7 linked regions of the Oryzias latipes genome follow. The protein of the gene in region 1 interacts with the protein of each later gene in a biochemical or structural test. Links are inferred from orthologs where the notes say so. Each region holds a gene or a part of one and is shown in the gene's direction. Other genes may lie near its edges.

Region 1 (4,260 bases):
TTTAATATTTTATGATTCTGGTCTTTAGGATGATTCTATAGAGGGGTAGTTGGACTGTTATAGCTGTTAAAATGTGATATATTTGGGGGAAAGGTGTGCAAACATACCCACTTTAAAGATTTAAAACCCTTATTTTGGCAATACCTTGTCATTTAAATGCAATATTTCCTATTACCAGTGAAATATACATAAACAATTTGTCTTAAAAGGTTATTACATCACAATTTATTTTAAGAAATTTTACCAAAACAAGTTCTTCTAGTTCCAATGTCAAATTTGTTTTCCCTTATAACAAGAAAAGAACTTCTACTTTTCTGTATTTTCAACTTGTTTAGAGATACATTTTTTTCTTCCATTGCTTGCCCACTGAAGATTTCTTTAAATTTGTTCCAGAAGTCATTATGAAAGTTTAGCCACTCTAGTGAATCAGTAAATGGTGAGATACAGAGATGTATGAGTCTATGCACTTGGGGAAAGTTTGGAAATAGAGCAGGAAAATTGTATTGTGTGCGTGTCTGTGTGTAAATACATATATGTGGGGGGGTTTTTTGGACAAAGCACAAGAAATGTTAGCCCCCAATAGACTGAAAACAAAAAGGATAACAAGCCTGAGAACATCTCACAGGATCAAGCATCTCCTTGAGATGCTACTGCTAAATCCTCCATAAACAACAATAATTACAACATAATCCAACATCTTGAAGTTTGTTGACAAAGACAGTCTGATCTAATTTTTTGGTATTTCTTGTATCATGGAAAATTTGGAGAAAAAAAAGTCCTGAAATATTGACTATTTCCCATATGTTATGATTTAAATTCAAATAAATTTAAAAATCTGCATTTGATACCTTCTGGGATTCTGGGGTGCCAGGAAGATCTACCATTGAAAATGCAAGGTGCCAAGTTGGTGAAGGTAGTAGTATTATGGTGTGGAAGTTTTTATTTTATTTTGTTGTTCCAACAAAAATGATTTTTAAACACTTCAGCACATTTTTATTTTAGAGAACTTTAAGTTCTTTTGGCAGTGTTCTAACATGATGCTCAAAGCTACAGCCTCATAAAGATGAGCGTTTAGAACACTTTTCAGATACATTTCAGTTGGAAAAAAAACATGTTTGAGTAGGATACATAAATTTGACCAATAAATAAATAAACATATATATATTTGTATGACAGAAGGAATCCATGCATTACAGTCTTTAATGTCACATTGATAAGCGTGTAGTGAGTTTGAGGTCTGCAGACAGAAATCTGTGATTGTGGGCGGAGTCAGAGTGCCACTCCTCGCGCAGGCCTTCACGGGAGCGCGCTTGTCACACTGTTACTACCAACAGTCCGAGTTCGGAAGTCTCCGTGGATAGGAAGAAGGGCAGCAATTTCACTAAGGGAGTCGAGATTAAAGCTGCTATTATTTTAAGGTCTAATATTTTAAGAAGGAAAAGACCTATTGTGTTTTTTTTGTCGGCTACAACGAATATTAGACAGACCTAACTCTGGAATATGGACTAAACGCGCCGGGTGCGAGCAGATGGAAGCCGCGAGAAGTTTGGTGTTTATCGGAGCCGTTCTGCTCGGAGTGCCGGGCGTTTTGGGCGGAGAAGGTGGGTGACTTTTGTCGTCTTTTGCGCTCTCACGGTTTGGGAACGCGGACATACTAGACCCCGTTCGAGTTGTGTTCGTGTGGACGTGAAGTGTGAAGTCGACGCGGGTTCCTGCATTCCTCGTACGTGATTTCGTCCTCCCTGCGGAGATTCATGGGAGTTATGGAGCGCAGATAAGGACAAAATTCCCACCTGTCAAAAAGTAGCTTCGCTAAAAGCTTTCAGTTTGAATTTCAATTACAAACTTACACTAAATTGAATAAAGAGAGTTAAAGCCACATAGTTGGGCAATAAACTCGAGAACTGGTGTTGAGATGCAGCAGAGCAGTGTTGGTAAACAACAAACAAACAAACAAACAAAAGCTCTGTGTGCAGAAGATCATCATGACTATGTCAATTATTCACTTCTGGCTCCTAAGGGGACATTGTCTGATAGAGGGCCACTTATCACACTTGGAGCTTGGAGTGCATGCCAGTAAAGTAAGAGCTAACTAACTGAAAGTGCAAATAAGAGCAAATTTGCAAAATGCAAATCAAGATTTCTTTTGTTTAAAGCCAAACCTGAGGAGTTTTTGGATTTCTTCATGTTGCAGAAAGTAGCACCGCTCTAAACTATTTGTTTCATTGTTTTTCACATTTCATATACCAATTATATAAAGTCGAAGAAAAGGAGTCAGATTTGAAAAACTCCAATATCATTTTTTATTTCTGCAAGAAAACCACAGTTTTCATGATTATTATTATGAACTAGTTTAATATCTGTTCTAGGAGGATTTAGCAATATCAATAAACATGTAAAACCTTTGCACAGACTGAGACTATGTGCAGACTTTATTAAATTGCCAGTTTTTGGGGTTAAAAACAACAAAAAGAGCCATGAATTTTTTTTTTTGGACTTTGATTACCAATTTCCAGCTCAATTAAGTTGAAAGACGAAATCCTTAGAGCACAAACAATACTCCTGTTTTATTAGCTGCCCCCGAAGCACTACCACTAATCGGACACACGCAGGAACAAAGCCAGTAGTCACAGGTGAAGTCATTTCTGAACGCGACAGCATTGTTGGGGGGAACAGGTTGGTGCACTTTAGTCTGCAGTGTTGATCTCTGAAGCATCGGACCTGTGCCGGAGTGCTCTGACTGGTTCCCAGAGTTAAGCAACATGTTATGCCCAAGTGTTGACTTCCAGCCTTCTTACTTTCATTTGTTATGTCACTCACACGTGTGCACAGCCCCTCTATGCAGGATCCTTGGTGTGAGGCGATTGCCTCAGTGGACGCACAGTTCACGCCCTTGTCATATTTTAGCGCACCTCAAGGCAAAGTCTATTTGAATTGACGCTAGTTGCAGGTTAACTCTGCCCGTCTAGACTGTTAGTGACCTGACCCACTCTGACTGAGATCAGGATGGTCGTTCTCTAAAAAGGCTCCGCTCACCCTCATGTTTTTCAGAGGAACGTCCGTTTTTTGGCAATAAAAAACTTTTAATTCAACCAATCAAGCATCTTATTGTTTTAATATTATTTTGCATCTTAACCTGGGCATTTAACACTAAGACACTATCATTTTTTTCATGTAAACCTTTTAAAGGCTGTGTTTGAAGATCAATTTGTTTCAATTAAAAAGACAATTCAAAAATATGAAATTCCTCGATTTAATTCTTTTTATAAGAATGTATCACAAATTATCTGGAAAAATGTATCAAATTTATTCGTTTCTATTGTGAGATTTCACAATATTATGATCAAAGGTTTTACTTTTGGTCACTTCATCACTAAACAACTTATTTTAAAACAAAAATTTGACCAGTAAAATGACATTTAATCAATTGTAATGAATCCTATCAAAATTTAGAATTTCTTATCAAAGACTTTACCAATAATCACACTAAAGTTCTCACTTCAGCTCAGGTTATATCTAAAATGCTTTTTTACTTGGAGGGAGATTTGTCTATATTATATGTTGTCATTATTTGTATAAAATGCTCAAATTGCCCTTACCCTACATAAAATGTTTGCATGTCAGTGTTATTTTATTGCATGTATGCAAAATGTGCGTGTGTGTGTTTTTTTTTTAAAGATTTTGTGCATGAATGGTTTCCCATAAGCTCAACTCTCATGTTCAGACCCGGCATTGGAGCAGCTAAATTTAAAAAGAGGACTGTGATGCGTTCACTAATAATAGTCAGTGGTGTGGATGCTTCATAAATATCTTGAAGGCTTGAAGCTCTTGGGTCTCTCCTTGTTGTCTTCATATAGATCCAAAGGTTAAAAAATATCATATTTATATGACTTTGATGCACATTTTTATGCCTTCAGTTTCCCAAAATATTGTCGGTCTGTAGGAATTTATTTGTTCTTTTGACCTGGAACTGAATTTCTATGATACACAGTACTCAGAAATCTGTCAAATTGTTTTAGCTCAATGTTGGTAAACTACATTGACTGTAGGTCTGCATGATATGAGGAAAACTTGCAATATTAGTATTCAATATTGTGATGACGATATAACTTGCGATATTTGAACAAATAGTAAAACTAGCAAAAACGTAATTCCCACTTCACTGCAGTTTAATCTAAATAAGAGTCAACATATCTTAAATTATACTCCAAATAAAACTAGTCTACGTGGGGGGCGAGTGTCTAACATAAAAGGCCTTCA
Region 2 (4,487 bases), on another chromosome or scaffold:
ACCCCACGTGTTTACATCATAGAGGATTTAAAGTCTCTGTTCCACCTTTGAAACATACTGTTGGGAGGAAAATCCCACACATCCACAGACAGAACATGCAAACCAAAACCCAACCGGGATTCGAACCACGACCTGTTCGCTGTGAGGCAACAGCGCTACATCTTCTGTAGGAAGGTCTAACTGGATTTGTGTTCATAGTCTTTATATCAGTTCCTGCTGTGCACTAAACTGTATTTATGGAATAAATGGAGCTTTTACAGAGTTTGGAGTAAATAACTGTCTGTCTGTCTGGACTGCATTCTTCACAGCAGGCTTCTTCAGTAGATTTATTTTCATGCAACAGTTTTTTGTTGTTGTCGAACATTACTGTTGTCCGCTCTGGCTTCATGAGCGACTTTGTAAATTGCGACCGGCATGGAATTGCATTGAATGCAAAGACTTCCTTGGAGCCTGAAAGGCAGCCTTGTGTTCATCCTCCCCCCCCTTTTTCTGCTCTGCAAACATGCAAATACCTGCACCATGTTAGTCATGCAAATGCTTCATATGGTTTATGACAAAGAGCGGTACAGGTGCAACCAGAGGTTTACATATGGTTTAAAAAAGAAGGGAAACTTTTCCCCCCTCTGTGCTTTATAAAATGTCATGTTAATCTTTCCTGTAGTTGACATGTTAGGAAAAAGATGCTTCAAACTAATAGGATTTATTTTTTTTCGAACAGTTAAAAACACATAATAATCCATCTGCAGTTTTAAAAACAAAGGACAATAATTCAAATATTGTTTTGCCCAAAGAGCTTTCTGATTGGCTCATTTGGTTTATATGGAGGGACCTTTCAATACATGTTGAAGCTGAGGTGAATAATATTTTACAGTTAAATAAGGAAACTTTTAGTGATTTACTTTTATCTCATTTTTAGATGAAAATATAAGCAGTGACTTCTCATTTACCTCAGTTGGATTAGACAAAAAGAAGTTAAAAAAAGAAGACTTTAATAATTAAAAACTGCACAAAGTTTAGGTACTTTAGAGCTAAAACAAATGACTGTTTTGTTAATTTTCCTACTAATTAATCCGCTCGTGTCCGATGTTTTGGGCCACTGGTTAAATTCTGTTTCAAGTCAGTTTTATTCTACATAAAAACATTAAAAATTGACTCAAAAGTTGTTGTTGTTTTTTTCAAATTTAACCTTAAAAAACCTTCAAACACACACAGAAAATGTTTTTTTTCATGAAAATGTTTGGAGATGGTCAGATAAACTTCAATCCCTGTTGCGTTTCAGTTGAAGACGGATGAAGAAGAGTCAGATGACGCTGCGCCTTCAACTCTCCAACAGGAAAAAAAAGCAGAAAGGTTACATTATTTAAAAAAAACTGTTTTGGGGGGCAAACTTTATGCTTTGAATAACTTTTATGGTCCCAAAGGTAGTGTGAGTTACAGAAATAGCAGGTTTTTTTTTTTAATTATTATTATTCTTTGTTTTGTTGCACAGGGAGTCAGATAAAAGCTGGTGTGGCCATCACCGCTGACAGCAAAAGCCCCGAGCCTCCCTTCATTTGCATAGATACCGTCCTTGCTTCCGGACTTCTTAAAAACTTGCATGCTCTGTGTGTGATGCAAGTCAACTTTTACTTCCTTAGTTCCTCTATCCCAGCGCACATAGAGGAACCGAGCGTCCAGCGGCTGCTCTTACTGTCAGCACCAAACGTCCTTTTCAGCTCCCAGCCTCCAAACCATGATCAGATGATAGAAGATACTTTCTCTTTATTTTTTTGTAGAGCAGAAGCGACTCGCGTCCGACGGTAAGTGTTTGTGATGCGTGTTTGTGATCTTGAACGGCTGGTTGGCGTCAAAGTTGTCTGCGCGCTGAAGACGGGAAGTTCGCTTTTTTTTTCCCGCTGCTGCGCGTATGCAGGGCTGCAGACGGCGGACCGACTGCCACGCGGCCGGCTGCGGCTGCAGCCGCGGCGTCTGCAGGTGCACGGCCGGCCGGCTCGGAACCTGGAACTTGAACCTCGGAAGGTGGAGGTGAGCTGCAACTACACCTGCAGCTGCAGCTCACCTCCACCTTCAAAATAAAAGACTTATTCAAAAAACCTTTTCACACCAGATCTAAGCCTTTTAGTCTATTTAACTCATATATATATATATATATATATATATATATATATATATATATATATATATATATATATATATATATATATATATATATATATATATATATTTTTCCAAAGTGAGGATGTTGTTGGTAGAACCATTGGGAGACCTCATGAGGAAACGGTTCTGGACTGTGGTCTTGGCTTTTGCCGAGCAGAAGAAGGATTGGCTTTGTCCAGCTCACAAAAGCACCTTGTGTTTTGAATTTTAATAGATAGGGAGGCAGCAGGCACACAGGGAGCACCACTACTGCCTTTTTCATATTTATGATGGACATCAAGTCCTAAAGTTCACTCAAACTGTGTTCATGTTGCTCAGATTCTGTGGAAATGACATTAGACTCGGTTTATGTTAAAGTCTCACTGGTTTGTAATGATGACGCCCATTATGGCTTTGACTTTTGAGGCCTTTTGGTTGTAGTTTTGGATTATTTGAACATTTCGGCTTCCATTTGACAATATCATGTCTTTTTTTTTAAATCTTAATGGAATAACAGTTTGTTGATTTTATTCATTTTAAACTGAATTTTGTCCTTTTAAGTTTTATGAAAACAGATGTCCTCAGTGTTAGATGGAAGGGAAACAAGAGCTTTCTGAGTCTTGTTTTGGCTTTTCTGCAATATTAGACGTTGTTTTTGTTTATTAATGCCTATTTTTTGAGGGGAGTTTAAAGGTGAACGTGGGAGGAAATGCTCATTTGTGTAAATACAGTGAGTTGTTATACGGCTGCAGGTCAGCGAGGGCTCATGGGAATAGAAAAGGAGGAAATGGCTCACACCACGATCTACGCTTCGTTTGTTTTTACTTTGAAACTGACGTGAAAAGACAAAGTTAAAGTGAAACTCTGATCTCAAAAAGGAAAACTGTCCGTTTGCTGCATTTAGTGTTAAACAGAAATAGTTTGAATCTGTTTGAGCAACATGTAAACTATTTTATAATCTAAGTGTTTGGATTCTTTTCAGTCCTTAAATGCAATTTTATTTGTTGATTTTGGTTTTGTAATGAGGAACAAATGTCAGTGAATAAAAGCGGTGCTGTCTTAAAGGTGAGAATGAGGTATTTGGGTTAATCTTTACCTGTCTATTGACAATGGCTGCTCCTGACTAAGATCTCAATCCTTCAACCATGTGTACTTTTGATAAACATTTATAAGGCTATCATTATCAGCAAAACCAATCTGACTTTCTCTTTTCCTTAAATGTAAAGATTTGCAGCTCTTTTGGATAATCAAACGAGGCTCAGAGCGTTGAGACTTTGGACTGTGATAAGTTCCTGGCTGTGGCTTATGGCCGTCGAGCGGGACTCTGCTGTGGAGAGCAGTAATGATGGGGTTTGTTATCTGGACAGAAGCCGTCTCTCTCTGGATGAGCAGAATTAAGTTCATTCACATCTATGAGGAAACGGATTTTGGTTAAATTTGTCTCCCATAATCTGAGTTCAGAGCATTAGAAACAGAAACACAATTTTTTATTTTAGGTTTTCCAAATCATAAACTAACTTTTCTTGATTAATTGTTGTACTTAAAATATGTTTGTATTCTTAATTTATCCAGGGTTTGTAAATTAAAAATGTATTTTGAGCATCTTGCTGGACAGGAAACTATTGGAGCTTTAAAGGCCGTGTCACATAGCCACCATGTACATTTTGCGCATATTGCACGGAGGAAAATTGGTCATACGGGAATAATGTTACTGTCCCAACAGGCAAACCTGCCACAGTCTAGGGGAGATGATCACAAAGTGGCGTAACAGCCATAACAATAGACGTGGAAAAAGTGAGAAAAGTTGTGGCCTTTTCACAGACGTATCACAAAAACCACCTTAAAACCATGGAAGAAGTACAAATAAACTAGAGCTGTATGGGTAACAGCAATGAGTTTAGAATTGATTCGATTCACCAGAGCCTGGATCTATTCAATTTACAATTCTTTCAATAATTTGAATTCAAATTTGAATTTACACGGTTTACACATTTAGACATATTGGTATAGAAATACAATAATAATCTTTACATGTTTTCAAGATATTCAAATGAATCTGACACAGTTCATGTACTGTAAAATGTATTAGTGAAATAATAAACCAATGAGATTGTTAACACCATACAATGTTGCTTGGTTTCGGAGAAGCTCAGACAAAAATCTGCAGATCACTAACACTGTAACGTCTCTAAACTGTTCATATTACAAAAATAAGTGTTGTGCCTCTCAGAGCTGCCTTTCAGTTTGGCCACTAAGTGGAGCTCATGCTATTGCATTACACTTTATGCAAAAAATGGTGCTTTACACCACAAATTGTTACTTTAAAATATGTTAAGTACATAAAGCTGTTC
Region 3 (4,537 bases), on another chromosome or scaffold:
CTGACATGGCTCATCCTCTCTTACTACTGTCTGCTGTTATTATTTCAGTACTTAGCCCCACAGATTCAATCCTCTCAGAGAGGATTATAATATACTAAGCTCCCTGTGCCGCTGACTCTGAAGGAAGCATCACCAAACCATATGAAAAGTCGGAAACGACCCAACAGCTAGTATTTTTTCATAAACAGTGGCTCAAAAATGCTTTATTGCACAAAAATGGGACAAAACCATTTTGTAATAACATGAAATTAGGAGTTTTGACCAACATTTTTGGTCATTCATCTTTTTTTTTTGTTGTTGTTGTTGCGCATTTTGGGGAACTAAGTCAAATATGCACCAGATATTTAAATAGTTCTCTCGCAAACTGTAAACACATTGGATTAAGATAATGAATTAATATAAACATAAGTATATCAGGTTGTTCACTTTTATTTTTGAATTCTCTTTCCTCTTTTTTGGTGTTCTTAGATCAGATAGGAATGTATTTTCTCTCTTTCTTCAGAATGTCAGGTGTGCACACATACACACACACACACACACACCCACACACACACCCACACACACACACACACACACCCACACACACACCCACACACACACCCACACACACACACGTTTTGTAGAGCAGCTATTATTGTCAAGCTGACCTTGTGGGGGTTACCTCTCCATCATGATGTAGAGAATATTTGAATCTAATTTTGTCAGTTTCCGCCATTCACAAAACACTGATGGAAGACTGTCTGCTTTAGCCAGGATTTACGTTTTTTTGGCCTTTTTTTTTTGTTTTGCTTTGTTGTGTTGTTTATCTTGAGCAGCTGGTGTAGTGCATCTGCTGCTAGGCTGGACCGTGCTTTTGTTTTGAATATGGATTCATTTGTTGAGCGCCCAGGCCTGCACACACTGAAACACAATACATCCAGGATTTTTGCCAGTGGGATGATAACAACAAACGGGCGTGGCTCCTTTAAGGACAGAGGTATACACACAAACACATACATACACACATGTTACACACTTGGACACAGACACACGCACGCACACACACATTCACAAGTGAAGCAAGCTGTTTCAGTACTGGCCTTTCAGTTCACCTTCAAATTAAAAGCCATACAATGTTGAGAAGAAACATTTTTAACAGGAGACAAATTTCGATAAACAACATTATGCTCTTAATTTATAAAAGTAACATATAGTCCAGGTATATGATACTTTAAAAATTATTTTTTTATATTATCTTTGAAAAATCTGAATACAATTTAATTTAATTCATATGAGCATATGACCAAAAAAAAACTCCATGTAATATTCAACATCCATTTAACCTGATATTTTACTTTCCCTGTTTAACCAAATATATCTTTTCCACTGTAGAGTATTATTATTATTATTATTATTATTATTATTATTATTATTATTATTATTATTATTATTAAGATACATTGATCTGCGTGTCTGTCACGCAGTGCCCACCCCAAGGCGGTGTTGTTGTTTTTCTCCCCTCCCCTCACCAAAAGCGAAAAGGAAGTCTACATTTTGGAATTCCCTACCTTTATTTTGAAAAACTCAAACGGAAATGGGCCTTCCTGCAGCTCAGTGTGGTTAAATAGGTCTGTGGAGCGGCGGCAGCAGTGCCCAGTGTTCCGCAGCAGAGATGGAGGAAGAGCTGGCTGCCTGCGCGCTTCTATAAACCAGACAAATGAGAGCAGGTGGAGGATCTAACCATGGCTGACGCTGAAAAGTGAGGACCTGCTGTGCAGAAAGCCGGAGTCTGCTCTCCTCTGGGACAGAATGGACCGCGTCCTCTGTTGAGGTGAGTGCCGCTGCGCTTTTCTTTACGCGCCTGATCATCCTGGCGTTTGTGAGCAGAACCTGCGTCTGCGCTGATGCTGCGAGCAGAAACGCTGCAGCGTCGGTTCTTCTTTTTTTTTTCTTTTAGCTGCAGGACAATAACAACAACCTCTGGCTGCAGACACATTGCGTTCTGGGGGATAAGCCCCTCTCTCACGTCCGCGCGGTAAGTCTCACCGAAACGCAGTGGCCACATCCAGCCCGTGATGGAAGAGAGGGATAGTCTGCGTCTCTGCTTGAGGGGTGGAGATGCGGAGGAGGCTTATTCCTCTTCTTCTTCCCCCTAAGACATAAAATCCGCTAAATAGACGCAATAAAGGTGGGATCTGTCTGCGGCCCCCTCAGAGGTGCGCTCAAGATGATCCAGAATCCGTGACAGCTCACGCGCGCAGGCTCCCATTCATCGCTGCCTTCTGGGTCTGTCAGCCATTCAGCAGGAGGCCATTCATGAAGTCCAGCGCGCAGCCTGCACCACGCTCCACTGCTGCCTTTAAATAGACTCCCTGGGACTGCAGCAGGCCTGTCACAGGCCCTCTATTGACTTTCTCTCACGTATCTTTTTATGAGCTGCTTGAACAGACAGGTAACATGAAGCCTAACAAGTCCGATTTGAACAGAAGCTCGCACAGAAACGCCTTTTCACTCATTGATTTGTGATGCTGGCATGTCTGACATCATGCTGTGACAATGTGATGAATTAGAATGGACGCTTTCTTGGCATATGTAAGTGCTCCAAAATCAGACATTTAATAGTTTGATGACTTTTATTGAAAGTGAAGCTTTGGCTAAAATGTAAAGTCCAGACATGCTCCATGAAGAAACGCCCCCATAATTACCCTTTTATGAAAACAATTCATCTTTAAAGAACCACTCAGATGAAAACTGTGTTTTTAAAATATTCTTGTGCTTTTTTTGGATAATGGAGAACACGAATTAAGAAAATTAAGCCTAAAACAGCATTTCTGAGTATCTCTTTTTGTGAATGCAGGAGCAAATGAAAAAACTTACAAGTGTGACATAGAACCTGTAAATGGCAGGCAACAAACTCCCTGCTCTGCTCCATTCTGATGCATCCACTTGGAGACAAATAGATCCTTGTTTCCCCGTCTGAGCTGGCATCTGGCTCAGAACTGTAGACAGCCCCAATGTTGCTTGTAATTGTTGTTGCACCGATGGGGTTGTGAGGGGCTGTAAGCTAGCGAGAGAGTGAAAACCATAGGATAATGGGAAGTCGGGGCAGGCTTACTCCACGGCAAAAGTCCCGCCCACAACGAAGAGGTGAATTTATAATGAACTACCGCCCTGCAAAAACTATGTCCTAGAAAACAGCACAGTTTTTTTTTATTTTGGCTAAAAACGGCATGATCATAATTAAAAGACCACTAGGAACGCTTTTATGTGATATACACACTGTTTCACCTCTACATTAAGATCATTTATTAACTAACATCTGACTCTGAATGTAAGTTTTTTTGACAGACAGCTGCTTTTATTTTCAAACTAAACACAACACAGGCAACATGTGGAGATTACAGCCCGATGTTGAAATAACGAAAAAACTCAGCAAAGAATCTCTTTTCTGGGGGTTTAGATTTGATAATTGGAAGTTTTTGCTAAAAGAAAAAAGAAAACTGCATCAGAAAGATCCAGTCTTTGCCATTCAGTTTATGATTTAGTTTGATGCAGAGGCAGAAATGTTTGTAATTTGACAAAAAAAATATTGCATATTGCTCCATGCAAATATGTCATAAAAATATGTATTTCTTTATTAAAAAGTTACTTTTACAACAAAAAGATCAGGGTTTTTCTACAGACTTTTTCCCATAGTAAATAGTTGACTATGGTTTGTAAAGTAAAAAGGAAAGAAAAAAAATTAAGTTTGATTGCAAATGTTTTCCAGTAAATATTATATTTTACTGTAAATATTATCTAAAAAAATCAATATATTAAATAAATGAGTTCAAAATACGAATGTCTGTTAAAAAAATCTTGAAGACTTGTTAAGAAGAATTCTGCTTGAGGAAAAACATGGAGGAGAATCTTTTCCTGAAAAACAAAAAGTGGCTTTTTTGTCAACATATCGTAATAGGTGACAGATTTCAGGTTGTCGAGTATTTATCCTGCGCGTGTGTGGTTGCGAGAGGCACATGCTTGTCTGTGGAATTAGTCAGACTTGGTGGGTGAGAGACAGGAAATGGAAGTCAGTGGTGAAGCGTTCATCTCCCACGCGCTCCGTCCTTTATCGTTGGCTGCCATACGGATGCCGAGCTCACTCAACATTTATATTGTCAGAGGACAGAGTGAGAAGACTCTGTCCTGCTGAGAAGCCACTAAACAAATGTGTGTAACATCGGCTACCTGCATCATCAGACGTGAGTGGTCACTCCTCCTCATAAGTACATGGGGGTGCACTTTAGCAATTTGATGCTCAACAGTTTCATATTTCCTCTTTGGGTCTGGATTCTTATCCAGAATTGTATCTGTCTGTTTCTGTTTCTTTTTTTTATCTGTCTGTTTCTACATTTTGTGCACACAAACACACTTCTACACGCAAACTCACTCCCACACACGTGGACACACTTCACTTCTGAACAAATAAAAAACCTGCACAAAGACACACTTTTTCTTTCAAACTCACTCTTCCACACATAAACTCTTTGCATTACGAACTCACATTAATGCACTCTTG
Region 4 (4,375 bases), on another chromosome or scaffold:
TAGATGAAAATTCTTCTAGCCAGTTAGCTCCTGACTAGCTTCGCTTTATTCATTTCCCGGTTGAGTTTCAGATGCCAGGATTGGACAGTGACCCGGAAACAAACTCGACGTTGATTGGTTGCGTCGACAAGCCTTTAAAGTATTTCATTATTAACCTTATAATTAGTGGGTTTTATTCAAAACTAATCTCTTTCCTGTATTAATTGTTTTAAACTTTTTGTTAGTTTTTGTTTGTTTAATATAGTGAGTTCAGGTTCTGATCCTGGTAGGCCTATAAATCTTAAAATATGTTCTTAAAATAAGCTGCTTAAGAAATCAAACCCAAGCAAAAAAAGTTCAGATCTGTAACCATAAAAAAGGGGGGGGAGGGGGACTCTAATTTTAAAAATGTATCTATCATTTGTTTTTACGCCCTAAATACAGTAGGGCAGGTGAAAGTGTCTAACTTTGAATTTTATGTTTCATTTTCTACTTAGTCAATTAGCAACACCTAATATTCATTCTTTTTCTTTTTTTTACACTTAAATAAAAATGGTCAAACTATTATAAGTAAGCTGACTTCATCTTGACCCTGACACTAAATAAGAATGACATGTAACATTTTATTTTATAAACGTTGTCATAGGCCTAGTGAATATTTAGCAGAGGGCAAAGGTTGTGCTTCGGAGTGTGCAAAACAAAACAAGAACATCGTATTTGAACCAAAATTGAAAAGAAAAATAAGAATCTTTCTAACCCCAAAGAAAACATAGCCTCATGAAAAGTACATCAAAGGTTCCATATTGTATTTGGATACATTTTTCTTAGAAACCAGACTTTTCTCTTTTGCTGTTTTCTGCATTTAGTGATTCATGAAACCTTGACATTCTTAGTGTTTGTAGGATATAACTTATCATGCATTTTACATTTTTAAAAATTGCATTTTTTTCATTTTTAAGTTTTCCTTCAGTAGTACTTTTTTACTACAATTTTGATACAAGCGGAGAGTTTCTTTTAAATGAAGAAAAAAGAAAATTTAAAAATTCCGAAAAAAAACCCCAGCTATGGCTTCTTAGGTATTGATTAACAGTGTTATTTTTGTTTTTAGCTTTTGATTTAATATGAAAATTTAAATTGTTTTCTAAAACATTTTTGTTTAACAACCAAGCAATTCTGACAAAAAGCTTACATTTTTATGCAAAATTTGATCAATAGTACATCAAAGGTTCATGTTAAAAAAAAAACCTTTATTGAGTTTAACACAACATACGTGATGATACGTGTGTGTATTTGTGTGCACATCAGTGTGTGATTGCTTGCACAGAGTGTTGCCACAAGGATGTGGTTTACTGCATGCAACTAACCCACGCCGGAAACTCTTCGGCATCTTCAATGTTTGCATTCTCCCTTTTTTTTCCCCCCTGCAGTCAGAGGCTTTCAGTTACTCCGTCCAATACCACCCAGTGTCTCCAGTGGTGTTATTCTCAACTGCTAACCATGTTTCCTCGGGTGATTTTGAAGGGAACCATGATCAAAAAATCTCAGCAAAAGAAGAGAACGTCACCGTGTAATTACAAAGAGAGATTTTTTGTTTTGGACACACAGGAGCTGAAGTATTCTGAGCGCCGTTCGGGGGTGAGTGCTTGTGTGCTTCATGGAATTGTCAAATTGAGCTTGACTGAACTGACAACTTTTGGAAATGGCACGATCTTGCAGAAGAAGCCCATGCTAAAAGGTTGCATTCAACTGTCCAGTATTAAGTGTGTGGAAATTGTGTGTAGTGACATCCCCATACCATGCCAATACAAGTACCCATTTCAGGTACCAGTCGCAGTTTTTTAACTTAAAAAATAATTTATTTCATTTTTAATTCAAAGGAATTTTGAAGATTTCTGTCTCATATTTTCTTTAAATCACAAATGCTTTGCAGGTTCTTCATGACAACTATTACCTCTACATTTTTGCTCCAGACAACGACTGTCGTATGAGATGGGTCAAAGCCCTCAAGGAGGGTAATTCAATCAGAACCTCTTTGTATCATTGTAATTTTAATATCTTGACCTGCATATAAAGAAATATGTTCATCTTTCTATGTAGAGACTAAATATAACAGTTTGGTTGCAAAATACCACACAAACTTCTGGATGGATGGAAAATGGAGATGCTGCCTACAAACTGACAAACTGGCAGCAGGTTGTCGTGTGTATGATCCAGTGGGTTGTGGTTTGTATTCATTTGTTATTGTTTCTTCTTTTAGTTACAATTAGATCTCACACGTTCCATTTCATATATTTATCATATATTTATTTCTTATTTGTTTACCTTTGTGAATATTCTCCCTAAAAAGGGATTGTGGCCTAAAAATCTGCATTTTAGATGCTAAAATCTTTATACTCTGCATAGGATTCTGTGTCAGTGCTTGTGATATGCAAGAAAAAGCCTTAACTACTAATTCCACTGTTTACTTAATCCACAGTCACTAAGAAGCCACTTCCCCAACTCCCAGATCCAGAGGTAGACCTCTTCAAATGTTAATGTTCTATTAATGCAGCCATTGAAAACTGACAAATCAGTTAATTTACAGCAATTTGTAGCAATTCATAGCAAAGTTACTTGACTTTTTTTTGCTTTGCCTTTTCTGTACATCTGGTAGATTTATTTGAATAGAACTGAGACAGCCGGTTTATTCATCAAATGTTACCCTAACTGTAAAAGTCCAGTCATGTCTTGTACATTGTTTTTGCCTTTTTGAATGAATTTTTAGTAGTGAATTGTTTCTTAGATATGGTTGATTTTTGCAGATGTCATTACAACCTTCAACACAGGGGATGGTCATAGCTTTGCAAGATTATGTGCCCATGGGAGACGACGATTTGCCCCTCCAGAAAGATCAGGAGTACCTGTTGATCAACAGCTCCCACTCTGAGTGGTGGGCTGTGCAGGACGACAAGGGGTAAGGCTTTAAAAAATAAATAAATAAATAAAAAAGCAGATTTGACCTTCTTTTAAAAAACCAATACATTGAAAATTAAATATTTCTAAAGAACATATTTGTGATTTTTTTTTTCTTAACAGTAAAACTGGTTTTGTGCCCAGTACGTACGTTGCGGAAAAATGTGGCAAAAACTTTGAGAGATTTCAGTGAGTTTTGTCAGATCTTATTTAATCTTACACATCTACAAGACACTGTTTAGATGTACTTGTTGATTTGTCGCTTTACAGATGGTACAACAAGCACATTAACAGAGCCGAGGCAGAAGACTTGTTAATGAAAAAGGTAGGAGCATAAACCACTTATTTATTTATTTATTTTAAACTTTGTCGTGCTTTATGGAAAATTACCTGGTTGGTAATCTCAAAAATCAAGTAAAAGAAAAAAAAAATTCCTCTGGCATGATAAGACGCACTTTACTTTTCAATAGTGCCGCCCACAGAAATCTTGCTTTTGCAAAAATAATGCACCTGCAAACTGACATTGTGGAGTGACATGGGACGTGAACATTTGTTCTCAAAACCGCGATGTTTCCTTCAAAACTGAATTTCCTGCTGACAGAATGTCTGCTGAACTTTGCAAACAGGTGGGAGAACTGCGCTCCCATCACCTCCTGCGACTCAGACACTTTCAAAGAGCTTGGCCAGCAACAAATCTTAAAAAAGTGAGAAAAGAGATGTGTGCAAGACAGTCAGCTGTGTTATGCAATATCTTCATTCTTACTACAGGGAAAAGAAGGTGCATTCATGGTGCGGGACTCAAGACAAGCAGGAGTCTACACGGTGTCCGTTTACACCAAAGCGCCCGGGTAACTGTCATTTTAACCACATACAACTCAAAGAGTCTACACAAAATGTGCTTTCTGACATTTTATTTTACATTAGTATGTTTGAACATGTTCTACATAAGTAAACATCCCCTTTTTCTGTCTTTTTTAAAAACATTAGTTTACATTTTGCTATTTTCTTATGATGTTTGTTGCTCTAAAATGTAAATACATATGTATTTTTTAGATCAAAAGGTGAAAAGAATCCCAGGGTGAAACATTATCAGATAAGGCAGGAGGAAGGAGGACAGTTCTACTTGGCTGAAAAGTATCTGTTCAACACCATTCCTGAGCTCATCCACTATCACCAACACAATGCTGCTGGTAAACATGCCTTCTGCACACATTTAGCATTAAGGAATTTGTTTTTCTTTGATATATATTTATATATATTTGCATGATAACTTATCTAATGCACTCTGCAGGTCTGATAACACGGCTGAGATACCCCGTTTTGCCAGATGGATGCTGCTTCCAGGAAGCTGCTGAAGGTCATGTGATGTATTGGCCTATCCGTTCAAACGAAAATTACCTGAACTAATGTCTTGAATGTTTTAACACCAGCCACTCTAAAGAAA
Region 5 (3,753 bases), on another chromosome or scaffold:
GGAAATTTAAAGGGGGGACAACGCTTTTTCTGTGGTGTTTTTTTTTTTAATTTTGACATAAGTTTTCTCATGCATCACTCGTATCTATGCTCCTCTGTGTGGTTAGTTGTGCTCTTTATCCGATTTGAATTAAGTTAAATCAATCTGATACTAATTTTAGGGATTTTTTTCCGTCAGTAATGTCTAGAAAAATCACGACTGAGATTAAATGTTTTATTAGCAAACTAACCCCACATGTGTGTCTTTGCTGGCATCAAGCCAATAAGTAACTCAAACCAGTTCTATATTTTGTCATCATTGTGTCTTTGACTTGTGTGAATAACTTGCATGTATAACGATACAATCTTGCAACACATAATGATGACATGGTTTGAATTCACAGATCGGTCACTAAAAAGAGGAACCCTAATGCTTGGAGCCATTTTTACCACTGATAATAAAAAAAACTCAAAGTAGCTAGACCTGCATATTTACCTAAATGTTTTGGCTATGGGGCATTTAGGGACCCAAAGGTCACTATTAAGAATGTAAAGAGATATCCCAGCTGTTCTCATCACAGATCTGTTTCAATAAGCAGAGAAATTTGATTAAGACACTAAAGTTGTGGTTTGAAATCCAAACAGCATGCTTAAAGGTACAAACATTGTGATGCATTTCAGAGATAAATCCTACATGTTAAGTTTGTCTTCAATGATCGTTTTTCCAAACTTTCTTCCTAGATTATGATGACTACCTGGATGATGATGATCTCGACCTCATTGAGGAAAATTTAGGCGTCAAAGTGAAAAGGAGGGTAAGAATTTCTCAATAAAATTCCATTTCTACTGCCTTTTCCTTAGACTCCAGCTGTCCTGAACATACAGCATCTTTTGGAGAGCTTGGAGCGTTTGATAGCTGTCCTAACTATGTATTATCTTGTACTGCAGAAGAAGAAATATGACCGCGTCAAAACACTTGACGAGGATGAAGATGACGATGAGAAGGACCTGATCGCAGATGAGATTTTTCATGGAGATGGTGATGGTGATCTGGAGGAAGGCGAGGCTTTGGACGAGCCCCTCCAGACTGTAGATGATGAGGAGGAAGGAGAAGAGGAGGACTCAGGTTGGAAAAAAGTTTTGCTAGATCTCTTTAAAATAATGTCAGCATGTTTTTTTCAAGGTTGTGAATCTCCTTTGTAGTGTGTTTTATAAGAGGAAGAAGTTCAATTTATATTTATTTTCTTTCCGCAGATATAGATGATTTTATTGTGGATGATGATGGCCAGCCCATCACAAAAAAACGGGGCAAGAAGTTCTCTGGATACACAGATGCGTGAGTGTTTGAGCACTTGAAATGAGAAGAACCTACTCGTATTTTCAATTCCTACACATTCTTGTGGCATTAATTTAAGGGCAGTAAAAATGTACAGAATTTTTCTATTTGATTTCTAAATATCTGTACAAAGAAAGAATAGCCCCAAAAAAAAGGTACGTTTTTTAATATGTGTTTCAAATCCTCTTTCTCCAGAGCCCTCCAAGAAGCCCAGGAAATCTTTGGTGGCGACTTTGACTTTGCTGACATTGGTGTTGATGAAGGAGGTGAGGAAGAAGAGGAAGATCCAGAAGAAGAGGGCTGGGACCGACCTAAGAAACAGACTAAAAGGAGATTGGGAAGAAAGAGCATCTTTGAAATCTATGAGCCCAGTGAACTGGAAAGCAGTCACATGACTGATCAGGACAATGAGATTCGATCCACAGACATGCCTGAGAGGTTCCAGGTGTGTGATTTAGTATATTAGTACATTTAAAAAGTCATTCTAAGGGTTTATTTAACATTCCAAATGAATTTGTAAGCTAACATTTGGTTGTGAAAGTTTTATTCACAAAAAAACCCAGGTCGTTATTGTCAATAAGAACATGTGCCTAATGGCCCACCTGGTTAAATAAAGATAAAAGAAATGATTCACCTGATAATGTTGCTAAATGTGTTTTTTGTTTGTCTTTCAGTTACGATCCATTCCTGTTAAGCCCGCTGAGGATGATGAGCTGGAAGAAGAAGCCGAGTGGATCTTCAGACATGGTTTCTCCACTCTCACCATCTCCATGCAGGTGCAGCTGCTGTCTCTAGGCTACGTCAGGAGATGATAACATTGCTTGTGGTTAAAACAGATCTCATTACTTTTTCTCACGTTGTCCTCTAAAGGAAAGCACAGACTACCTTGACAGAGGGACAACCACAAATTTCAGCAGAAAGGGTCCAAGTACAATTGCCAAGATTAAGGAGGCTCTTAACTTCATGAGGAATCAACAATTTGAGGTACCACAGATTTATAACATTCACCTTTTAAGGATTTAACTGTTTTCATCTTAAGGAGGACAAAAACTTGCATTTTTTAAACATTTTTTCAGGTCCCCTTTATAGCTTTCTACAGAAAAGAATATGTTGAACCAGAGCTAAATATCAATGACCTGTGGAAGGTGTGGCAATGGGATGAGAAGGTATTTTCACATTTTGTTTTATTTATTACTGTGACTTTTTTTTCTATCAATGTTTTAACGTTTGCATCAATATTTGCTTAAACTTAAACACTTCGATTGGTAGTAGTTAACTTGATTTGCAAATTGTTTAGTGGACTCAGCTGAGAACCCGAAAGCAGAACCTGACCCGGCTGTTCCAAAAGATGCAGTCATATCAGTTTGAGCAGATCTCTGCTGACCCTGACAAGCCCCTGGCTGATGGCGTTCGTCCTTTAGACACGGCTGACATGGAGAGGTGCGACCACATCACACTGCAGGCTGAGAAAGATGTTACTTTATAAACCTTGTTTAGCTTCAGTTGCCCTCAGAAAATAAGACAAAATTTCATTAAAGAAGCCTTTTGACATGTTTTTTTTTTAATTGTATCATTATTTTTTTTAATATTCCAAAGGCTAAAAGATGTACAGACTCTTGAAGAACTGGGAGATGTGTACAATCACTTCCTGCTCTATTACGGTCGAGACATCCCCAAGATGCAAAACGCTGCTAAATCCACCAAGAAGAGGCTCAAGAAGATCAGAGAAGTGACAGAAGATGGTAAAATCATGTGAAGTGATGAAAATCAAAAGAGCTTTCTCCTTTTGGCTTATTTGAAAATGATTTGACCTGAAGGGGAAGAGGAGGAGCTTGAAATTGAAGAAGAGGAGGAACAGAAAGCCCCTGACCTCAAGCAGGCATCTCGTAGGGACATGTACAGCATTTGCCAAAGTGTTGGACTTGGTTAGTTTTTTTTTTTTTCTTCATATAGCCAAATTAGTGATATTAATAAAATTGTCTGCTGTCCTAATTTTCTTATGCTGGTTTTCTCTTTTTACAGACGGCTTGGCTAAAAAGTTTGGTTTGACCCCGGAGCAGTTTGGAGAGAATTTAAGAGACAGTTACCAGCGTCACGAGACAGAGCAGTTCCCTGCTGAGCCTTTAGAACTGGCAAAAGATTATGTGTGCAGTCAGTTCTCCACCCCCGAGAATGTGCTGGTAGGAACTAGATATATGGTTGCCATGCAAATTGCTCGGGAACCTCTAGTCAGGCATGTTCTTCGCCAGACCTTTCAGGAGAGAGCCAAGATTAACATCAAACCCACAAAGAAGGGTAAAAAGGTACGGTGGTTATCATCAGAGGTTAATTAAAGACCCACTCAGATGACAAATGTTCTTGGTGTTCTTAACATGTCCTTGTGGCATTTTTCGGATGACAGAGGACATGGAAAAAAAATTAAGCTTAATTTCTAAGTAT
Region 6 (4,218 bases), on another chromosome or scaffold:
GGTTCTAACGAAACAAGACATTTCACAAAGTAGCACTGCAAACTGTAGCACTGATCCTGTCTGACCACGTCGAAAACTTTTGTAGAGCTACTTTTAAACATTCATTTTTTTGGTCTTCTTTTACAATTTGGTTTTAAAATCTTTCTCGTTGTCCTTCTGCACCGCGCTGATGTTTGTGTTTGGCTGAAACTGTACGTGAGAAGAAGAAAAGCCCCCTTCAAGTGGTGCTTCTCACTGTGCTGATTCCGTGTATTTATATTCTGAATAAAGCTGCAAATAAAGTACGCGCCTGCTTCATGTGTCAGTACTTTTTCTAGAGGTTTCCAGAGCTGAGTATGTGTAAACATCTTTGTGGTGTTTCTATAAATAAAACTAAGAGAGAACGCACACCGTAGATCTGTTAAGGCTGCCGCTGCTGCTTCTAGTTGGTGGAAAAGTGAGGAGACTGTGGTTGAAGTTGTTTCCAACCACACTTGCTCTTATTTCCGAAGCTGAGTGATAACTGCTGTTGTCGCAGATGAGCTGGCTATATTTAGCCCTCCATCAAAAGACAAAGATCAGCTGTATTGTAACTAAAAAAGGAAACTTGAAAAGGAACGAACTGGAACAAGAATAAAGTGCTTATACGAAAACTAGGTACCTTCAAAGAGGTGCAGCACAGACTTCTGGGATGTCTGGTACCTCAGCCTGTCTTCTGCATGTGAGGAGGTTCTGTGCAACATAATCCAACCACATGAAACTTCTCAGATCACCACTTTTAGTCCAGTTTATATCAATGAGTGCTAATGAAGCCATTGAATTGTTTTAAATAAGCGACTCGTCGCATTTCGGGCAGACACTCGGCAGAATTGCAGGTTACTCCCCTAGGGCGGGTCTGTTAATTAACCCACCTGCTTAGCGTCCTATTTAAGTCAGGTGTACAATTGTTCATTCTCTCTTACCTTCAGCGCTCATTCTTTGCCCCTCCCTCCTCCCCGGCTTCCACCTGTGGGCTCCGTTACGGGGGTTGTTACCCGAAAGTGTATGGAAAAATAATTGTCTCAAGGAATTGAACGGAGCCTTATGCCAAAACGAAGTTGTGAATCAAATTGTGAATGTCATCCTAAAGATGTTGTGAAAACCTAAAGATGTCGTGAAATAAATGTTCTTCTGCAAGAGTTGTCTGACTGAAATGCACAAAACGTATCTTGGGAGCTGCATGACACGTGAAACAATCTGATGTGATTGACTTGGCAGCTCAAACAAATTCTTGATAGCAAACTTTCCATCTGCTTATTCAGCACTGATTTGATCTTCTCTCGTTTCCACGCCGCTCTTTCTCACAAACATCACGCTTCATCTTTTTCTGACATTTCAAATTGTGCAGCCTAAGTTAGGTTTTCATACGTTAGATGCTTCATGCTTAAAAAAACACAGTTTAATCAGTGAACCTCTGAATGAGGCAAGGGGAGCATCACGATTCTGCAAAAGTTTGACTTCTAGTTTCCCTATAGCTAATGAGAGCATCAGAGTGGAAAGGAAGATGTGCATATTTGATATCTAGGTGTGATGTTCAAATGCAGATTTTCACCTTTGACCTTCTATGACATCCACCCCACAGTGGTGCAACAGGATCATTCTGAATGGCAAGAACATTAAGGGTGCTTACGTACGCTGACACTTCATTCTGTAAACAATTGATATAGTATCAGCTGAACTGTCTGCAGATCAGTCCAGGATGTTGAAACTGTTTCGCGTCACAGGAAGCTGCGGCTTCGCGACATGCATTTATGTGAGGCGAGAAACCTCTGCTCTTCAGTCAGCCTTCATTGCCGCCAGCAGCAAAAACACAGCAGTCTTCATGTGAAGTGAGCAGAGAGGGGAGCAATCTGTTCAGCAGGCCTGAGTTCCGACATGCAGGACACGTTTGCATCTTTATGGTGACTACAGACACGGATTTATGAACAAGAAGACCTGGAATTTGTTTGTGGCTCTGCATTTCTGAGGACTATTACTTCTCCAAGCAGAACTTCAAAAGGTGAGCGACCTTTTTGTTTATTTTGCTCGCCATTTGACTCAACTTCTGCCTCCAAGATTTTAGTTATATGTCCTTTAACTTGTATAAATATGCTGCACAGATTGAACTTTGCAAAAAAAAAAAAAACGATTGCATGAACAGAATAAAATCTCCCCTTTTGAGATGTGGACCTTATTCCTGCCATGCTCTGCATGGAACTTGAACGCAGGATATCAGCACCTTTTGTTGTGGTTTGACACCTTGAGTATTTTGCTTTTGGTTGCCTTGTTATGACGCATGTACATCCCCTGTGTGTGACAAAGTTAGCAGGCAACAACCAGTTAGTTTATTTTAATGTTGGTTTTTTTTCTCTTTAGGTCTTGGCAGACGTCTCAGATTGCTGAAAAATGGGCTCCTGCTTAACCAGATGTTGCTCAAATTTAGAGGTTTTAGAAAATGCACCTGAATCAGACTCACCAGGTAGATTCAGCTCAGAACACAGACATGCAAACTTAAATATACAGATTCCCCAGATCAAATGTTCACCGCTTCTCTTTGTGGCTCTGTAGTCCTCCAGGAAAATGTGATTGTATCGCTCCACGACTACCCAACGTTCGAAGACACCGAACCCACCATGTTTGCTGGTGAGAGACTCCTCATCGTATCAGAGTAAGTGGAACAGCTTGTAAGGTTTCAGTTTTGCCACAGTTAAAAAAAGAACCCTACGTTAAATTTGTTTCTCTTTTGGAACAAAAACAGAGATGGAGATTTCATGACGGTGAGATCCTCAACCACTGGCCGTGATAGCTACATCCCCACCAACTATACAGCCAAAGTGATGCACAGGTGAGGAGCTGTATGCTGTTGTTGTGAGCACAAAAAAATAAATGAGGCATACTGTCCGTGTAGGTGAACTGTTCCTCAGTGGAGACAAATGCTTGTTCTCCAGTGACACATTCAGCCTCTGCCTCCTCCACCTCAGTCCTACTCAACAAGCTCAGATCTTCTTCTAATGGGTTTTTCCAGACGTCAGGACAGAATTTGGTGTCCCAGTCTGAAGGTGTGATGTCCTTTGTTGCAGGTGGCTGTTCACAGGCATCAGCAGGTACAAGGCAGAGGAGCTGCTGCAGAAACCCAATAACCAGAACGGATCCTTTTTGATTCGAGAATCGGAAACAAACAGAGGTAAGAGCTTTGTTGTAACCTTTTGTGTAAAGGAACTGTTTTTTAGTGAAAGTTTTAATTTATTTTAATTGTAAGGGGGCAGAATGCTGAGCCTGTCTGTGCTTTCATACCATTTTAGGTTTGCTCAGGTTAATTTTTGTTCTGCTTTTATAAACCAGAAGCAAATTTATCCTCAAGAAATCATTCCTGTTGGAAAAAAATAGTCTGATTATTACTGATTTGTTCTGATCATTGTTTGTTCATTGTTAGAAGTGAAGATTATAGAATAAGGAAGCACACAAGACATTTGTGATTTCTAAATTCTATTTCTCCTCCAGGCTACTTTTTAAACCATAAACTTTCTGGAAACATTGATTAAATATGTGGAGAAACAAAAATGTGTCCTACAAAAAGTTTTTATTGAAAAACAGGATAACTAGTTGTAGAAATTGATGACATTTGGTTCATGTGAGACACCAAAAGATCAGCCAAGTCAAAACAAAAATATCTTAACCGCTGCATCTGTGGGATATTTCTGTCTTCAGACAGCCACTCACTATCCATCTTGATGAGAACCAACTCCTCACGATTGAATCCTGTGAAGCACTACCGCATCTACCGCCTCCAAAACAACTGGTACTATATTTCTCCAGGACTCACCTTCCCCTCCCTACACTGCCTCGTGGAACACTATTCAGGTCAGAACTGAAGCGGGGACTCTCTTCTGGGTGCCTTAAGACAACAAAACGTATAAAACTGACTGAAAACTGGGGCTCCTCTTGCAGAGTCTGCAAACGGCCTGTGCTGCCAGCTGACAGCGCCTTGCTTCATCCAGGGGTTAGACACTCCCAGGCCTGTTCCCAACATTATCAGAAGGCCTACTATTAACTGGAAGGACATAAGCAGGTGAGAAATGGTTGCTTTGGATTTGAATCTAATGATTGTAGTGCAAAGAGAGACACTCAATCCTGTCACTGGTTTTTAAAGTTTTGTTCTCTAAGCATTAGGAAGCAATCTGCAGGTTTAAGTGATTCAATGAGTTAACTGGTGAGAGGAGT
Region 7 (4,402 bases), on another chromosome or scaffold:
AAAGAAAAAACTTGTTGTGAAAGACCTTTTTACACATATTCCCTACTGCAGCAGTGTAACAGATAAAAGTAAAGCTTGTTCTTGAGTTACCTTATTTAAGTAAAACTAGAGTCTGAAGTCAGCATGTAGTCATGCATGAGTAATTACTCTGCCATGTATATGCACAAGGAAATTTATTGCAGTTTTCCTCAGACTGTACTCGGACGTCAGTTTATTAGTCTTACCCCAAAAAAAGCACATGCAGTTTACAGCAGTCCAGCAATAAATCCTGCCTTCACCCTTGCAGCTTTAATAGGTCTTTTGATAAAGTTGCTTTAATGAGCCACGAATTGAACTTTACGGTTAAGTTTTTTTCAGGGCTGCAGGTTTGGACCTTTTGGGACTGGGTTGCATAATGTTCAGAAAAATGAAAATCATATCCTTCAAGAGAGGAGATGCTTCAATTATTTACGCAGTTATTATGCAAGACTGGATTCATTATAACTGTGTCTACCTTATAAAAAGTTGCAATAGTCTCTTCTCTAGTCCTTTTCTGTAAATCTCAAAACGGGTACACAAATTTTGGGGGAATTTTGAAGGTATTGTGTGTCAACTCTAAGCCACTGTGGTTCAGGCTGGTGGAGGGTGCTGTTTTTCACTGTTAATCATTAGTAGTAAATACTGCAAGCACGGTGATGGAAGGGGGCACTTGGCAGGGGTGTGGTGCTTAAATTTAAGCTAGAAGCACTTTTTTTTGTTGTTTTGGTGTGAATTGAGGACTTATTGCTGTTCCCCTCTGCTTAGTTCTTGCAGCACTCTATGCCTGGTTTCCTCTCTTTTCTGCAACACTGACTTCTCATCAGATCCGCTTGACTGTCACAGGCAATTTCTGGTCTCTCTGCTTTCTATATTTTAGTGTCCTAGTCATGTGAGTGTTTCTCATATTCATTGTGCAGATGTAACTCATGCTTTTTTTTTTTTTTTAAGTTTATCTGGCTCCATCAAGGTTATACAGAGTGACCTCCTGTCACACAGAATTGCTGGCTAAAGGGCTGTGGGGTTTGAAGGAGGGAAGGGAGGGGGGTCTCTTTGTCCCAGTCTTTGAAATCTGTTTCTCAAGTTACCAAACACGAAGGCAGGACTCTTGAATGGCCAACATAAACAGCCCAGTTTTTCCACGCATGCACTGCTGTGCACGTGGAGACACACACTCACCCTCTTCCTTCCTTCCCCATCTCCCCCCCTTGAGCATTAGAGTGCATTAATGTGCATGAGGGCAGTATGTAGCTGTGCATGCATATGTGCACTTCAAAATGACTCTGGCTGCAGAGAAGGGGGGGGGCAGGAAGGAAGTAGAATGGAAAAGAAGAAGGTGGAGGGGAGGGGGGCATGCAGCACTGCACGGTAGAGTAAGAGAGAACGAGAAAATGGGAGGCAGCATCACCCACCCAGACAGGAGGAGGGGAGGGTAGACAGCATGCTCGTCCCCTCAAACAGACAGAGGTGGAAGGAAAGCGGGCATGAGAGGCAGACACGAGGGGAGAAGAGAAGTACAATGAAGGAGTGCTATTGTCCATCCTGACAGCACTGCCATTTCACCATCCGCTGAGAGACGGGAAGGGTGACAAAGGAGGGGGACGAAAGAGGAGGCAGCCAAACGGAGGAGAGAGGATAGATGGAGAGGAGCGGCAGGAGCCGGCAGTGACTTTGTGAATTAACCGAGCGGAAGAGCGGATCAGAGAGGAAGCGCGATTTTTCTGGGAGTGGATGAGGAGAAAGCCAGAGAAAGAGGAAGGAGAGGACGAAGGATCCGACTTTCTGTGGCTGTTCAAACATCACTGGGGCTCTTCTTATTGGAACATGAAAACCAGCTTTTCATGAATGGTTTATTATTAATAATAATAATAAAAAACAACTATAGAAGCTTTGATATTTAGTGAGAAAAATGAAGAACACAGAAGCAAATGTGTTGCTCACTTGATACAAAACATTTTTTAAAGGACTTTTTGTAAATATAGACTCTCTTTTCGACTTCTAATTTTTATATTTTCTATAATTGTAGATCTGCAGGATGTTATACAATCATTTCTTTTAGAAGTTTCTCAGAAGATTCAGCTTTTTATGCAAGTTTTTGTAACAGTTGTCTTTTAAATACTAAGGTGTGGTGTTCCTTGTTAATTGAAAAAGGTTTTTTTTATTATTGTTTGATATGATTTGTGATTGACTAGCTGTTAGAGTCCGTACATGCATCCAATGTGGGATGTCAACACTGATTAGGTGTGATGGGTGGCTCCAAAGCAGTCAAACTTTGATCTTAATCGTATTCTTCTTCTAAAAGCCTGTGATTTTTTTTGTTTGTTTGTTTTATCCTGCCGTTCTGTGGAAAAAAATCCAAAAGGCTCATCTATTTTTCAGTTTGATTCCACAAAGCAGTTATCCCAGAAAATTCCTGCTGTTGTCGGGACTTTACGGCATACATGCTCGGCGGGCTTTTCTTTTAATGTCTGTTGCCATAGCAACGGGAAGCAGCTGCAGACAGAACTAGATGTAAAGTTCCTCTTTTCCTTTTTTTCAAAATTCATTTTAAAAACTGGTGCTGTTTCATTGCTGTTGCATAGATCATCATAGATGTAACATCTTAGAAAGAATTAGCCTGTGCTTTTGTATGATTTGTGGGTTTTGTGTTAGGGGTCATAGTTGTTAACTCTAACTTTGTCTGTGTGAAAGTTTGTTATCCAATGTTTTTTTTTCAGTTCATCTGTCCTCAATGTGCTACTATCAGGCATGACTGTGTGAATTAGATGATCACTCTGACTTCACTTGTACATATCCGTGGGTGCTGCTGTTTGACCCTGAGGCCTATGATCATCAGTCATCAGCAGTGCTGCATCTATGACAGTCTGTTCATTACAGCGCTCATCTGTTGGTGACTCAGGATTTCTCTTCATGTAGAGGGCCGTCTCCTCTGCAGTCACCTGACCTTCACTGTGTTTTGTGCACCAACATCCTAGAGCTAGGGTTGACTCGACTCTATTAGTTCTCTCAGAAGGAACAACTGGTGTTCCTAGTCTGCTGTTAACACGTGTTGGATGTGTTGCCTATGGAACGTTCTAAGCCTCTTTGGACTTAATTTTGGTTCTATTAAGTGTGTGACAGACTGTTAATTTATTCTGCATGCTTTTTATCTGAAGACTTTGTGTCTTTTCCAGCCATACTACTTTATAGCTTTCTGGAGATCATCCAGGCCTGTCTGGCAGTGGATGAGTATATCTGGATCCTCCTTGGTGCTTTTTGTCCAAGACCAGATGGATGGCTAGCTAGAACTGCTAGACAATCCCTCTGTGGTGCTAGACTGGTGTAGGCGACTGTTCCTTTTGCCATTCATCCAGCACCCACTACAATCTTGACCGTTATACTTTTGGCTTAGTTGCATTCTCAAATGTTATAATAAGCCATTCCTTTTGGTATTATTAAAAGGTTGGTGCCAGATGTGCAGCCTTGTGTAAGTTATTCATCTTTTGCAAGTCTAAAGGTCAATGTTCTGTAAATATGACTAGTGCCTCAGCAGCACTAAGGTTTAGGCAGGACAGCTTGCTGCAGGGCTAAAAGTGTACATTTGCCTCCCACTGAGGTCAAGTTGTTACAGACTGTTTCATTTGTGGGATGTTTGTTGTGAGCGACTGCTAATGTAAGAGTATTTGCCTTCTAGGTTGGTCTATGCAGAAAGATGCAGTGTTTTAAGGTGTCTGTTGGACAGAGCTGAGATCTGACTATTCCTTGCGTTGGGAAGGGAGCTGTCCTGGAATATAGCCTTTGGCTTTTTTATATCATACACTTTGTGGCAGTGTCAACATTCTTCTCTCAGGTAAACAACTATAATCTGGGCTTTTTATTGAATTGAACTACGAAACAATCAGATGACAGCAGCTGGCACTGGGTTAACAACAAAGGTCAGTTCTATTTGAGCTTCTTTCGAACCCAGATGAGTGAGTTCATCTTCAGCACTGATGAGCTCTCACTTTGCTGAAGCTGGATTATGAGATCAAACCTGACAAATCAGGTTTCATTACCATCACAACGAGCCCACCAGTAGTGTTCATCAGCCAATGACCCACATTCTCCCGTGTTACATCACCACCTTGGTGCTGCAGTGTCTGTCACTGTACCAGTCAGACAACATCTCCCAGGAGGCCTACCAAGATTCAATGGTGCTCAAGGAATAAACAGAAAAAAAAGAACAACAAAAAAAAAAAAGTGAAACTTGGTGGTCATTTTTAGGGAACACACTTAAACAAAAGCAGGCTCTTTTGTTTTTAGCCATATCAGGTACCTCTGTCAGGAACCGGCTCCGCTCTGCGAGTCCAGTCTTAAAAACAAACTTTTGTTTGGTTTTTCTTTGTTTTTCTATGGGTGTCTGTAATGA

Evidence for each region.
Region 2: the proteins of receptor tyrosine-protein kinase erbB-2 (region 1) and plcg2 form a complex in vitro, tested with the Homo sapiens proteins (2 studies listed by BioGRID and IntAct, with this or other methods). The link is inferred for Oryzias latipes from reciprocal best matches to the Homo sapiens genes ERBB2 and PLCG2.
Region 3: the proteins of receptor tyrosine-protein kinase erbB-2 (region 1) and sh2b2 form a complex in vitro, tested with the Homo sapiens proteins (2 studies listed by BioGRID and IntAct, with this or other methods). The link is inferred for Oryzias latipes from reciprocal best matches to the Homo sapiens genes ERBB2 and SH2B2.
Region 4: the proteins of receptor tyrosine-protein kinase erbB-2 (region 1) and itk form a complex in vitro, tested with the Homo sapiens proteins (2 studies listed by BioGRID and IntAct, with this or other methods). The link is inferred for Oryzias latipes from reciprocal best matches to the Homo sapiens genes ERBB2 and ITK.
Region 5: the proteins of receptor tyrosine-protein kinase erbB-2 (region 1) and supt6h form a complex in vitro, tested with the Homo sapiens proteins (2 studies listed by BioGRID and IntAct, with this or other methods). The link is inferred for Oryzias latipes from reciprocal best matches to the Homo sapiens genes ERBB2 and SUPT6H.
Region 6: the proteins of receptor tyrosine-protein kinase erbB-2 (region 1) and src-like-adapter 2 form a complex in vitro, tested with the Homo sapiens proteins (2 studies listed by BioGRID and IntAct, with this or other methods). The link is inferred for Oryzias latipes from reciprocal best matches to the Homo sapiens genes ERBB2 and SLA2.
Region 7: the proteins of receptor tyrosine-protein kinase erbB-2 (region 1) and shc1 form a complex in vitro, tested with the Homo sapiens proteins (2 studies listed by BioGRID and IntAct, with this or other methods). The link is inferred for Oryzias latipes from reciprocal best matches to the Homo sapiens genes ERBB2 and SHC1.

Annotation. Positions count from the first base shown.
Region 1 is NC_019877.2:7,422,600-7,426,859, reverse strand, and holds the start of receptor tyrosine-protein kinase erbB-2, read left to right. Parts: upstream 1-1,298; 5' UTR 1,299-1,528; coding exon 1,529-1,601; intron 1,602-4,260. UniProt on the Homo sapiens protein: Protein tyrosine kinase that is part of several cell surface receptor complexes, but that apparently needs a coreceptor for ligand binding. Essential component of a neuregulin-receptor complex, although neuregulins do not interact with it alone.
Region 2 is NC_019864.2:28,000,359-28,004,845, reverse strand, and holds the start of plcg2 (1-phosphatidylinositol 4,5-bisphosphate phosphodiesterase gamma-2), read left to right. Parts: upstream 1-1,614; 5' UTR 1,615-1,799; intron 1,800-4,487. UniProt on the Homo sapiens protein: The production of the second messenger molecules diacylglycerol (DAG) and inositol 1,4,5-trisphosphate (IP3) is mediated by activated phosphatidylinositol-specific phospholipase C enzymes. It is a crucial enzyme in transmembrane signaling.
Region 3 is NC_019871.2:13,807,327-13,811,863, reverse strand, and holds the start of sh2b2 (SH2B adapter protein 2), read left to right. Parts: upstream 1-1,586; 5' UTR 1,587-1,810; intron 1,811-1,936; exon of another isoform or gene 1,937-2,014; intron 2,015-4,537. UniProt on the Homo sapiens protein: Adapter protein for several members of the tyrosine kinase receptor family. Involved in multiple signaling pathways. May be involved in coupling from immunoreceptor to Ras signaling. Acts as a negative regulator of cytokine signaling in collaboration with CBL.
Region 4 is NC_019868.2:21,188,617-21,192,991, forward strand, and holds the start of itk (tyrosine-protein kinase ITK/TSK), read left to right. Parts: upstream 1-1,409; 5' UTR 1,410-1,476; coding exon 1,477-1,614; intron 1,615-1,695; coding exon 1,696-1,800; intron 1,801-1,909; coding exon 1,910-1,991; intron 1,992-2,076; coding exon 2,077-2,202; intron 2,203-2,455; coding exon 2,456-2,493; intron 2,494-2,780; coding exon 2,781-2,932; intron 2,933-3,054; coding exon 3,055-3,120; intron 3,121-3,201; coding exon 3,202-3,256; intron 3,257-3,699; coding exon 3,700-3,779; intron 3,780-3,984; coding exon 3,985-4,121; intron 4,122-4,222; coding exon 4,223-4,288; intron 4,289-4,375. UniProt on the Homo sapiens protein: Tyrosine kinase that plays an essential role in regulation of the adaptive immune response. Regulates the development, function and differentiation of conventional T-cells and nonconventional NKT-cells.
Region 5 is NC_019872.2:8,918,016-8,921,768, forward strand, and holds part of supt6h (transcription elongation factor SPT6), read left to right. Parts: intron 1-719; coding exon 720-793; intron 794-926; coding exon 927-1,104; intron 1,105-1,232; coding exon 1,233-1,314; intron 1,315-1,509; coding exon 1,510-1,759; intron 1,760-1,988; coding exon 1,989-2,090; intron 2,091-2,184; coding exon 2,185-2,298; intron 2,299-2,390; coding exon 2,391-2,480; intron 2,481-2,611; coding exon 2,612-2,754; intron 2,755-2,910; coding exon 2,911-3,056; intron 3,057-3,131; coding exon 3,132-3,239; intron 3,240-3,336; coding exon 3,337-3,617; intron 3,618-3,753.
Region 6 is NC_019863.2:26,193,658-26,197,875, forward strand, and holds the start of src-like-adapter 2, read left to right. Parts: upstream 1-1,187; 5' UTR 1,188-2,017; intron 2,018-2,373; 5' UTR 2,374-2,403; coding exon 2,404-2,476; intron 2,477-2,565; coding exon 2,566-2,665; intron 2,666-2,755; coding exon 2,756-2,842; intron 2,843-3,077; coding exon 3,078-3,181; intron 3,182-3,705; coding exon 3,706-3,858; intron 3,859-3,945; coding exon 3,946-4,066; intron 4,067-4,218. UniProt on the Homo sapiens protein: Adapter protein, which negatively regulates T-cell receptor (TCR) signaling. Inhibits T-cell antigen-receptor induced activation of nuclear factor of activated T-cells.
Region 7 is NC_019874.2:18,333,852-18,338,253, reverse strand, and holds the start of shc1 (SHC-transforming protein 1), read left to right. Parts: upstream 1-1,392; 5' UTR 1,393-4,402. UniProt on the Homo sapiens protein: Signaling adapter that couples activated growth factor receptors to signaling pathways. Participates in a signaling cascade initiated by activated KIT and KITLG/SCF.